Oryctolagus cuniculus: one gene and its partner. The protein of the gene in region 2 binds, or shares a complex with, the protein of the main gene of each other region. Links are inferred from orthologs where the notes say so. Each region holds a gene or a part of one and is shown on either strand. Other genes may lie near its edges. The genes, in order: GDF2 and ACVR2B.

Region 1 (4,539 bases), on a different chromosome or scaffold from region 2:
GCCACAGAGACTGCGTCTGAAATGCAAACACACGGAGGTGGGCGGAGCTGAGCCCGGTGCAGAACGATGCCTTTTGGCTCTATCGGCTGGTATGATTTCACCCGAGCCCTCAGGGAGGAAGCGTGTTTGGGAGAGCACGTTTAGGGTCTTGGGAAGCACCAGGCTAGCTGCTTCGGGCAGGGCTTTCCCTTTAAGCCTCACTCACACCAGGAGAACCTGATGACTGGGACTTAAGGCATCTCATTGTCAAAAGGCACTGAACTGGTGAGGACCCTCACACGGGGACAAGGACTAAAGGCATTCATTGTCAGGCTTAGGGGAAGATGCTCTGGCATGGATTTACAGCAAAGAGCCTCGGAGGGGGACGTGAAAGTCAGCGTTACAAACCTCAGCGTCTACACTGTGTATAAATCCTTTGGAGTAGTAAATCCAAAGCACAGTGAAAACAGATTTTTTTTTTCCAGTATTCGTGGGGAAAAGATCTATTAGCCTCATGGCTTTGTCACATCAGGCAAAACGGGGCCTGTTTTTTAGATAAGTAATCACTTCCATTTTCCTCTTCCTGGGACTGCTGTTGGGGCATATAGGATTAAGCCTCTGCTTGTGATGCCGGCATCCCATATGGGTGCTGGTTCAAGCTGGACTGCTCCTCGTCCAATCCAGCTCCCTGCCAATGTGCCTGGGAAAGCAGCAGAAGAGGGCCCAAGTGCTTGGGTCCCTGCACCCATGTGGAAGACCGAGATGGAGCTCCTGGCTCCTGGCTTTGGCATGGCCCAGCCCTGGCCATTGCAGCCATTTGGAGGAATGGACCAGCCGGTGGACTCTCTCTCTCTCTCTCTTTCTCTCTCTGTAGCTCTGCCTTTAAAAAACCAATCCCTGCTTCCAGGGAGCTGACCCTCAGCCATCAGCCTGTGTCTACTACAACACAGCTCACTAACAGCGAGGGGAGAGAAGTGGTGTTTCTGAGCGCCTACCACGCACCAGCAGCAGCGAAGGGAGTGCTCTCCCAGAACCCTGTGGGCAGGTGTCGGTATCCAACAGACTGGGGCTGGGAAGGGGAGTCCAAGCCCCTCTGTGCCTCAACTTTCCTCATCTGTGAAATGGGGCTCATCCTGCCTGCCTCCCAGAGCCAGGGTGAGGCTCGGATAAAGCGGTGCCTCCAACCTCCTGGACATGGTCTCTGGCTCCCAGTGGACACTTAGTCAAGACTTCTGCATCCCACATGCCCTGCTGCCTCCCATACAGGCTCCCTCCACACACCAAAGCCTGCCTCCCTGGGCCCTCCGGGATCTTGTGTGCAGGGAAGCAGAGGGGAATGCTGGGATCCCAGGAGGGCTCCAAACACGGGACCCAGGGCCTGGGGAGCTGCAGAGTCTGTCTTTCTCAAAAGGGAGGCCAGCGTGTTACAAATCAGGCTCGTTCACGTGGAATCTGGATTTTTCTCTTTCGGACAATGGGGAAATCCAGCACTTTGGGCAGGCAGCCGTGACCGCAGCGAGCGGCCCTGACTCCTGTACATGCTCTCTTCCCCAGGCAGGTCTGGTCTGGCCTGGCCTGGCCTGGGTGCTGAGCTGCGAGCCCCTTAGATGTTTGCAAGGCTGAGATCCGGAAGGGGAGAGGCCTGTGCCCCCGCAGCCCTTCAGACAGGACTGCAGCAGTAAGAAGTGTCAGTGCCTTGGGGCTGGCGCTGTGGCGCAGTGGGTTAAAGCCCTGGCCTGTAGTGCTGACATCCCATATGGGCGCCGGTTCTAGTCCTGGCTGCTCCTCTTCCCATCCAGCTCTCTGCTATGGCCTGGGAAAGCAGTGGAAGATGGTCCAAGTGCTTAGGCCCCTGCACCCACGTGGGAGACCTGGAAGAAGCTCCTGGCTCCTGGCTTCAGCCTGACACACTCCTGACCATTGCGGGGCCATTTAGTGAATGAACCAGCACATGGAAGACATCTCTCTCTCTAACTCTGCCTCTCAAGCAAGTAAGTAAGTAAATAAATAAATAAAATATTTTTTAAAAAACTGACGTCTCTTCAAAACTTTCTTAGCAAAACTCATACTATGAAAAAGCTACATGGATTTCAAAATTTTTTTTGCACCAAAATGCACTTTTAAGTCCACTTTTCACAAGGGACTTTTTGAAACTCCGTGGTATGGTAGGGAGCTGGAGACTAACAAGTGTTCTGCTTCTGAGTAGGAGGGGATACCCAGGGGCCAGAGGGAGAGCAGAGGAAGGGCGGGGGGGGGAGGAGGGAAACCTGGCACCCCTGAGCACCTACTGTGTGCCATTGGCCCAGGGGCCAGGGAAGTGGACTCTGCACAGCAAGCGGGGGCGACTGCTGAGCCCTGGAATGAGCCTGGAGAAACCAACAGGCCACTTCTTCATTTCATTTCCCGGCAGCCTGAACGATGACCACCTGAAGCGTGGACCTGCGAGCTCAGTCAGCCCTGGAGACCCCGCCCCCCCGCGAAGCCCTCCCTACCTTCCACGCTGAAGCTGCGCACGATGTTGGAGGCGGGGGTGGAGGACTTGTCCGAGGTGTACCTGTTGTACAGGTCGATCATGTACTGCGGCGGCTCCGCCCTGGTCCTGTCCTGGGAGGGCACCCCGCTCAGGTTGAGGCTGCGCAGGAAATCCATCTTCATGTTCTCCAGGAACACCTGCAGATCCAGCGCGCCCTGCGGCGGCCCCACTCGGGGCTCCCCCTGCGAGGCGCGGCTGTTCCCCGCGCCAGAGGCCCGTCCCCAGCTCTGCAGAGGCTTTCCCTGCCCGGAGCAGGACAGCAGCGACAGCACGGGCAGGGCCACCCACAGCGACCCGGGGCCCATCTTGGAGGAGACCATGGGGCTTTAGCGCGCGCAGGGAGCGGCCTGGGAGGAGCGCGCCCGCATCGTCATCCCGCTGACTCCGCTAGGAGTACTGCCGCCAGCCCCGCGGGCCCGGACTCCATCCGCTTGTTCTTATCTGGCCCCACGAAGCTGCGAGGGGAGCTGTTATCGGCAGGGACCCTCGGTTAATGAAGGTTCTGTAAACATGTGGCAAAGCGCAGGGCCTGTGGGAAGGACACGGCCTCCCGGGAAGAATCCCCTCGACCGGTCGGTCGTCGCCCCTAATTAGGGTCCTGGCTGGTTTCCCGGACAGCTCCATTCAGGGGACACTCCAGCCCCTGGGCTTCAGGAACAAAGAAGCCAGGAAATAAGGCCCAGAAGCCCTCCAAATATAGCAATGACCGCAGTGGACACCCCAAGTTCAGGGCAAATCGGTGTGCGCCTGCTCGGTTGGGAATGGGAACCTGCCACGTGGCCGCACCGCGCCCCTGTGTCTGTCCAATGAGCTGCCTGCCCAGCACTGCCATTCCCATGTCACATAATGTGGCCAGGAGGACCTCGGGGTCAGGGTGGATGGGGGTTCCAACGCCAGCCCCCACGAATGGAACCTGGAGCAGCTTTGACTTTGGTTCTCAGCGCCTCCTGCTCGGAGGGGAATTGTGATGATGGAAGATGGTCAACAGGAGCAGCCACAGGCATGGGTGTCTCTGTTCTGGGTGCCTCCTCCCCACCTCTGGGCCTCCTGAGCTGGAGCTGGGGGAAGAAGCTCCTTGTTCTCTCCCTACCCTCCAGCTCTGCAGTAGCCCTGCAAACACACTGCAGCCTGCCAGCCCCTGGGAGCTCCCAGACCAGCTCTGTCTCTGGTCTGCATGTGTGTGTGTGTGTTGGGGGGGTGGGCAGCCTGCTTCACATCCATCAGCCAGCAGAGCTATGCGGAGTCTGGGCAGGCAGAGAAGGTGGGACGCTCTGAGATGGCTCCCTGGCCAGAGGAGGCTGACAAGCTGCATCCCAGTTGATGTGGCCCGAGGGACCCCAGGGACTGTGTCATTACAGTTTCTGTCTATGTCCATCACAAGAGGCTTTGGTGCAAAGCAAAGAAAGAGCACAGTTCAAAGCACTTGGCAGGTGTGCCTGGTGGTCCACGCTGGGGAGAATTTGAAGCTGACATTGATCCAGGCTGGTGGGGCTCCTGGGGGAGGACACAGAGAGATGCAGGAGGGGCCCAGCAGGCTGTGGTCACAGATCCCAGTGGGGGGAAGGGAGAGACCAGAAACCCTGAATGGCCACACCCGGACGGAACTTGCTGTCCTCATCCAGCTGCTCGGGGGCGGGCAGGAAATGGCTCTGGGCATTGGTCCAGCCCAAGGCAAGAGGAGGGGGGAAAAAGATCCAAGTGGGTGCCAAGCTTGGGAAATGGAGCTGCCCCCTGCCGAGTGTGGCATGGTGCAGGGAGCTTCGGAGGGCAGTAAGTGGCCCCCAGCGTGCTCCAGTCCCAGAGGCCAACGGGACGTTTTCACACGGGAGTGGCTGAGCCGCGTGGTGGCAGGGAGCCCGCTGGATGTGCTCAGGGTGGTACAAGGGTCAGTTAACTGTTGATTTTTTAAAAATGTGACGGGGCAGGCATTTGGTGTTGTGTTCAGTATACTAGTTAGACCTAGTGTAGCCCATGTCATGTAGCCCATGTCAGAGATCCTGAGTTCAAGTCCCAGGTATGTTTCTGAT
Region 2 (3,795 bases):
GGACTGGGTCAAAGCCGGGCGCTCCATCTGGGTCTCCTGCATGGGTGGCAGGCTCCCAGGCGTTCGGCCATCCTCTGCTGCTTTCCCAGGCACGTGAGCAGGGAACTGGATCTGAGTGGAGCAGCCAGGACTCGAACCTGTGTTCATATGTAATGCTGCCATCCGTATGTTCACATCATTTTCTCTTGGGGTTATTTTTGGTCCTGTTATTTGTACCCATTGTGGATATCTGAAATGCTCCTTTAGTCAAGCAGGGCAGTTAGTTAGCCAAAGACGATGGTAAGTCAGGTGGCAAGGGCAGCCCAAGGGCCGATGGAAGCAGAGAGGCCCTGCACCCCTGACTTTGGTGCTGCTGCTGGGGGGCGGGGCCTGTGGGCCTCCTAGGTGCTCGCCTGGGTGCTGCCCCTGGTGTTTGCCCGGCCTTTGGTCTCCCGCCCCACCTGCTCCCCTCTGGGGTCCCCCTAAACCTTAGGCTTGAGGAAGGGCCGCCCTGGGGCCTCCTGGGGGAGCCAGAGTGCTCTCCAGCGTGAGCCTCTCTGTGGACCTGAAGTCCTCCCGGGCTGAGACTGACATCCAGCTACCTGGCCGCCCAGGAGGCCCTGCGTCTGCTTCCCAGGTCGGATCTAGGCCCCAGGCGCCAAGGGCGCAGTTGTGGCTGGGAACCGCCATTCTGGCTGGGTAGCATCTTGAGCCCTGGGATCCAGCCTGGAGCCTGAGGTTTGCTGCCTGCCCCTGGCCGGTGCCCCTGGAAGGAGCTCCTGTTGTTGAACGGTCACTGTGGGGGTCAGGTCCTCCCCGGGACGAGCCCTGGGGCTCAAGCCCTCTGCTCACGGAGGCCACGTGGGCACGGAGAGGAGGTGGCGAAGGCCCTGGGTGGTGCGAGGTCAGGGTACTCGGGGACCCCGTCCTGGCTGTGCTCTGGCTCCCCCGGGGGCCTGACTGCCACCCATCCCTCCTCCTTCCTGGGGTGGGGTGGTTGCAGGGGGAGACCCGCCCAGCCGGTGCCAGGCCACTGGCCACAGCAGGCCTGAGACGTGGGGAGGTTGGCTGGGTGGCTGGTGCAGGCTTCCTCTTGGTGCCCACAGGGGTGCCAGCGTGAGGCCACACCTGCCCCTGCCTCCCAGGTCACGGGCACCCGCTGAGGGGCTGTGGCAGGCTTCTCCCACTGGCTTCTTCCCGTTGCAGGTGGTGGACCCGTTGGGGCCAAGGGCAGCTTTGGGGCTGGGGCCTGGAGTAGTTGTAGGGTGGGTCTGGTGAGTGAGGCCACGCTGGGAGGGAAGCGTCAGAAGGGGCAGATGGCGGTTTAGTGCTTGGCCACTTGGATGGACGGTGCCCAGGAGGATGACCTGTGACTGTGGCTCAGCCAGCTCCTTCCCGCCGAGTCGCACGAGGCGCATAGCCCCTGTGATCCTGGCTGCTGACTTGGCTCTGTGCGATGTTCTCTGGCCTGGGTGTGATGGCTGCACAAAGAAGGGACGGGGGGCGGGGGTAGGCTGCACGTAGAAGGGACGGGGGTGGCGGGGGGAGGCTGCACTTAGAAGGGACGGGGGGCGGGGGGGCAGTTCAGGTGTGGTCCCCAGGTGTGTTCCAGAATGACCAGAGACAGAGAGGGTGGTTACTAATGCGGATTCTGCCCCCATGCCCCTGGGACAGGGCTGGCCTGGGAATAGGCGTCTTCAATAAACACCGCTGCCTGAGCCCAGCCCACCCGCGGAGGACCAGGGCGCTTCTGTCTTGCCCTGGGGTCTCCCCATTTCTGCGGCTGCAGTGGCGTCGGTCTGGCCCGCTGCTTGGCACCCTTCTGTGGCGTCGGCTTCCTGCCTCCTCCCCCTTGCTTGGGCCTGGGGCAGCTGCAGTGGCTGGTGGGCTCTCAGGAAGCTGGGAGGTGGGGTGCGCAGGGGTCCGTGAGCCCACTCTGGCGCCTCCCTCTGGGAGCAGACGGTGGGGCCGCAGTGCTGGGTGTGCTCAGGTCTCTGCCCCCTGGGCTGCAGGCTCTGGGCACGGCGAGGCCGAGACGCGGGAGTGCATCTACTACAACGCCAACTGGGAGCTGGAGCGCACCAACCAGAGCGGCCTGGAGCGCTGCGAGGGCGAGCGGGACAAGCGGCTGCACTGCTACGCCTCCTGGCGCAACAGCTCCGGCACCATTGAGCTCGTCAAGAAGGGCTGCTGGCTGGACGACTTCAACTGCTACGACAGGTGCGCCCGCTGCCCCACGCTGCCCCACGCTGCCCGCCCCTGGCTGCCATCGTCCCCATGAGCTGCTGGGAAGGCCCTGCCTGGGGAGGGGCGTGGCCAGGCGGGCTGGGAGTCCTGCGTGCCTGGCTGAGGAGGTCTGGAAACCTCTGCCCCAGGCAGGAGTGCGTGGCCACCGAGGAGAACCCCCAGGTGTACTTCTGCTGCTGCGAAGGCAACTTCTGCAACGAGCGCTTCACCCACCTGCCAGAGGCCGGCGGCCCGGAAGGTGAGGGGCTGACCCAGCCGCGCGGGGCTGTCCTCGGCCTGGGGCGATTGGCTGCTGAGCTGGGTGGGCGTGGCAGCAGCCCCCCCCCAGGTGTCAGGGCGGGCGGGCTGTGTGACGCAGGGCTCCATGTGTCCCCCAGTCACGTACGAGCCACCCCCGACAGCCCCCACCCTGCTCACGGTGCTGGCCTACTCGCTGCTGCCCATCGGGGGCCTGTCCCTCCTTGTCCTGCTGGCCTTCTGGATATACCGGCATCGCAAGCCTCCCTACGGCCACGTGGACGTCCATGAGGTGAGACGGCGGGGCGGGGCCGGGCCGGGGCAGGGGAGAGGCGCGCAGCTGCGCAGGCCCACCAAGCTGTGCTCGTCCCCAGGACCCCGCGCCTCCCCCGCCGTCCCCTCTGGTGGGGCTGAAGCCGCTGCAGCTGCTGGAGGTCAAGGCCCGGGGGCGCTTTGGCTGTGTCTGGAAGGCCCAGCTCATGAACGACTTCGTGGCCGTCAAGATCTTCCCGCTCCAGGTGAGTGTTCCAGGGGCTCCAGGGCGTCCACGGCCACAGAGGCTTCCGCGGAGCCCCAGGCCCGGGGCCTCGCTGGGAGGCTGTGCTCAGCCCGGCCTGCAGGGACAGGCCCGGCTCTGCTTCCCAGGCTTTTCAAAAGTAGTATTTATTTATTTTTTGAAATATTTATTCACTTGAAAGGCACAGTTAGAGAAAGTTCTTGCATCTGTTGGTTCACCCCTCAAATGGCTGCAATGACCAGAGCTGGGCCAGGCTGAAGCCAGGAGCCAGGAGCTTCATCCGGGTCTCCCATGTGGGTGCAGGGGCCCAGGGACTTGGGCCACTTTCTACTGCTTTCTCAGGCCACAGCAGAGAGCTGGATCGGAAGAGGAGCAGCCGGGACTAGAACCGGCGCCCATGTGGGATGCCAGCCCTGCAGGCAGCAGCTTTACCCGTTATGGCACAGCGCTGGCCCTCGGCTTTTATTTGTGACGTCAGCATCTGTTCAGAGGCCCTGGACACCAGGCAGCCCAAGCCATTGCCCGTGAGCTTAGCAGAGCTGGGCCTAGCTCTGCCTCTCGCCTGTCAGGTCTGTCCCTGGCGTCACTGTTGGCCTGGCGCTCCAGAGCTCGGCCCAGTCCTGGGCTTCTCCGGGACGCTTAGCGGACGCTGAGGCTGGGAGGCGGGGTGGGGCGGGGCTGAGCAGCCTCTCCTCCCAGGACAAGCAGTCGTGGCAGAGTGAGCGGGAGATCTTCAGCACGCCCGGCATGAGGCACGAGAACCTGCTGCAGTTCATCGCTGCGGAGAAGCGAGGCTCCAGCCTGGAGGTGGAGCT

Evidence for each region.
Region 1: the proteins of ACVR2B (region 2) and GDF2 are in contact, whole or in part, in a crystal structure (PDB 4FAO), measured with the Homo sapiens proteins. The link is inferred for Oryctolagus cuniculus from reciprocal best matches to the Homo sapiens genes ACVR2B and GDF2. Residues at the interface, in NP_001097.2 of Homo sapiens: Asn35, Glu39, Cys49, Glu50, Glu52, Lys55, Leu57, Tyr60, Ser62, Arg64, Val73, Lys74, Cys77, Trp78, Leu79, Asp81, Phe82, Asn83, Glu94, Gln98, Val99, Phe101; in NP_057288.1 of Homo sapiens: Arg333, Ile346, Ala347, Pro348, Lys349, Glu350, Tyr351, Glu352, Lys397, Ser399, Pro400, Ile401, Ser402, Val403, Leu404, Lys406, Gly410, Val411, Pro412, Thr413, Leu414, Tyr416, His417.

Annotation. Positions count from the first base shown.
Region 1 is NC_091446.1:80,859,827-80,864,365, forward strand, and holds the start of GDF2 (growth/differentiation factor 2), read right to left. Parts: upstream 3,016-4,539; 5' UTR 2,833-3,015; coding exon 2,472-2,832; intron 17-2,471; coding exon 1-16. UniProt on the Homo sapiens protein: Potent circulating inhibitor of angiogenesis. Signals through the type I activin receptor ACVRL1 but not other Alks. Signaling through SMAD1 in endothelial cells requires TGF-beta coreceptor endoglin/ENG.
Region 2 is NC_091435.1:174,642,300-174,646,094, forward strand, and holds part of ACVR2B (activin receptor type-2B), read left to right. Parts: intron 1-1,991; coding exon 1,992-2,199; intron 2,200-2,354; coding exon 2,355-2,464; intron 2,465-2,603; coding exon 2,604-2,755; intron 2,756-2,837; coding exon 2,838-2,981; intron 2,982-3,679; coding exon 3,680-3,795. UniProt on the Homo sapiens protein: Transmembrane serine/threonine kinase activin type-2 receptor forming an activin receptor complex with activin type-1 serine/threonine kinase receptors (ACVR1, ACVR1B or ACVR1c).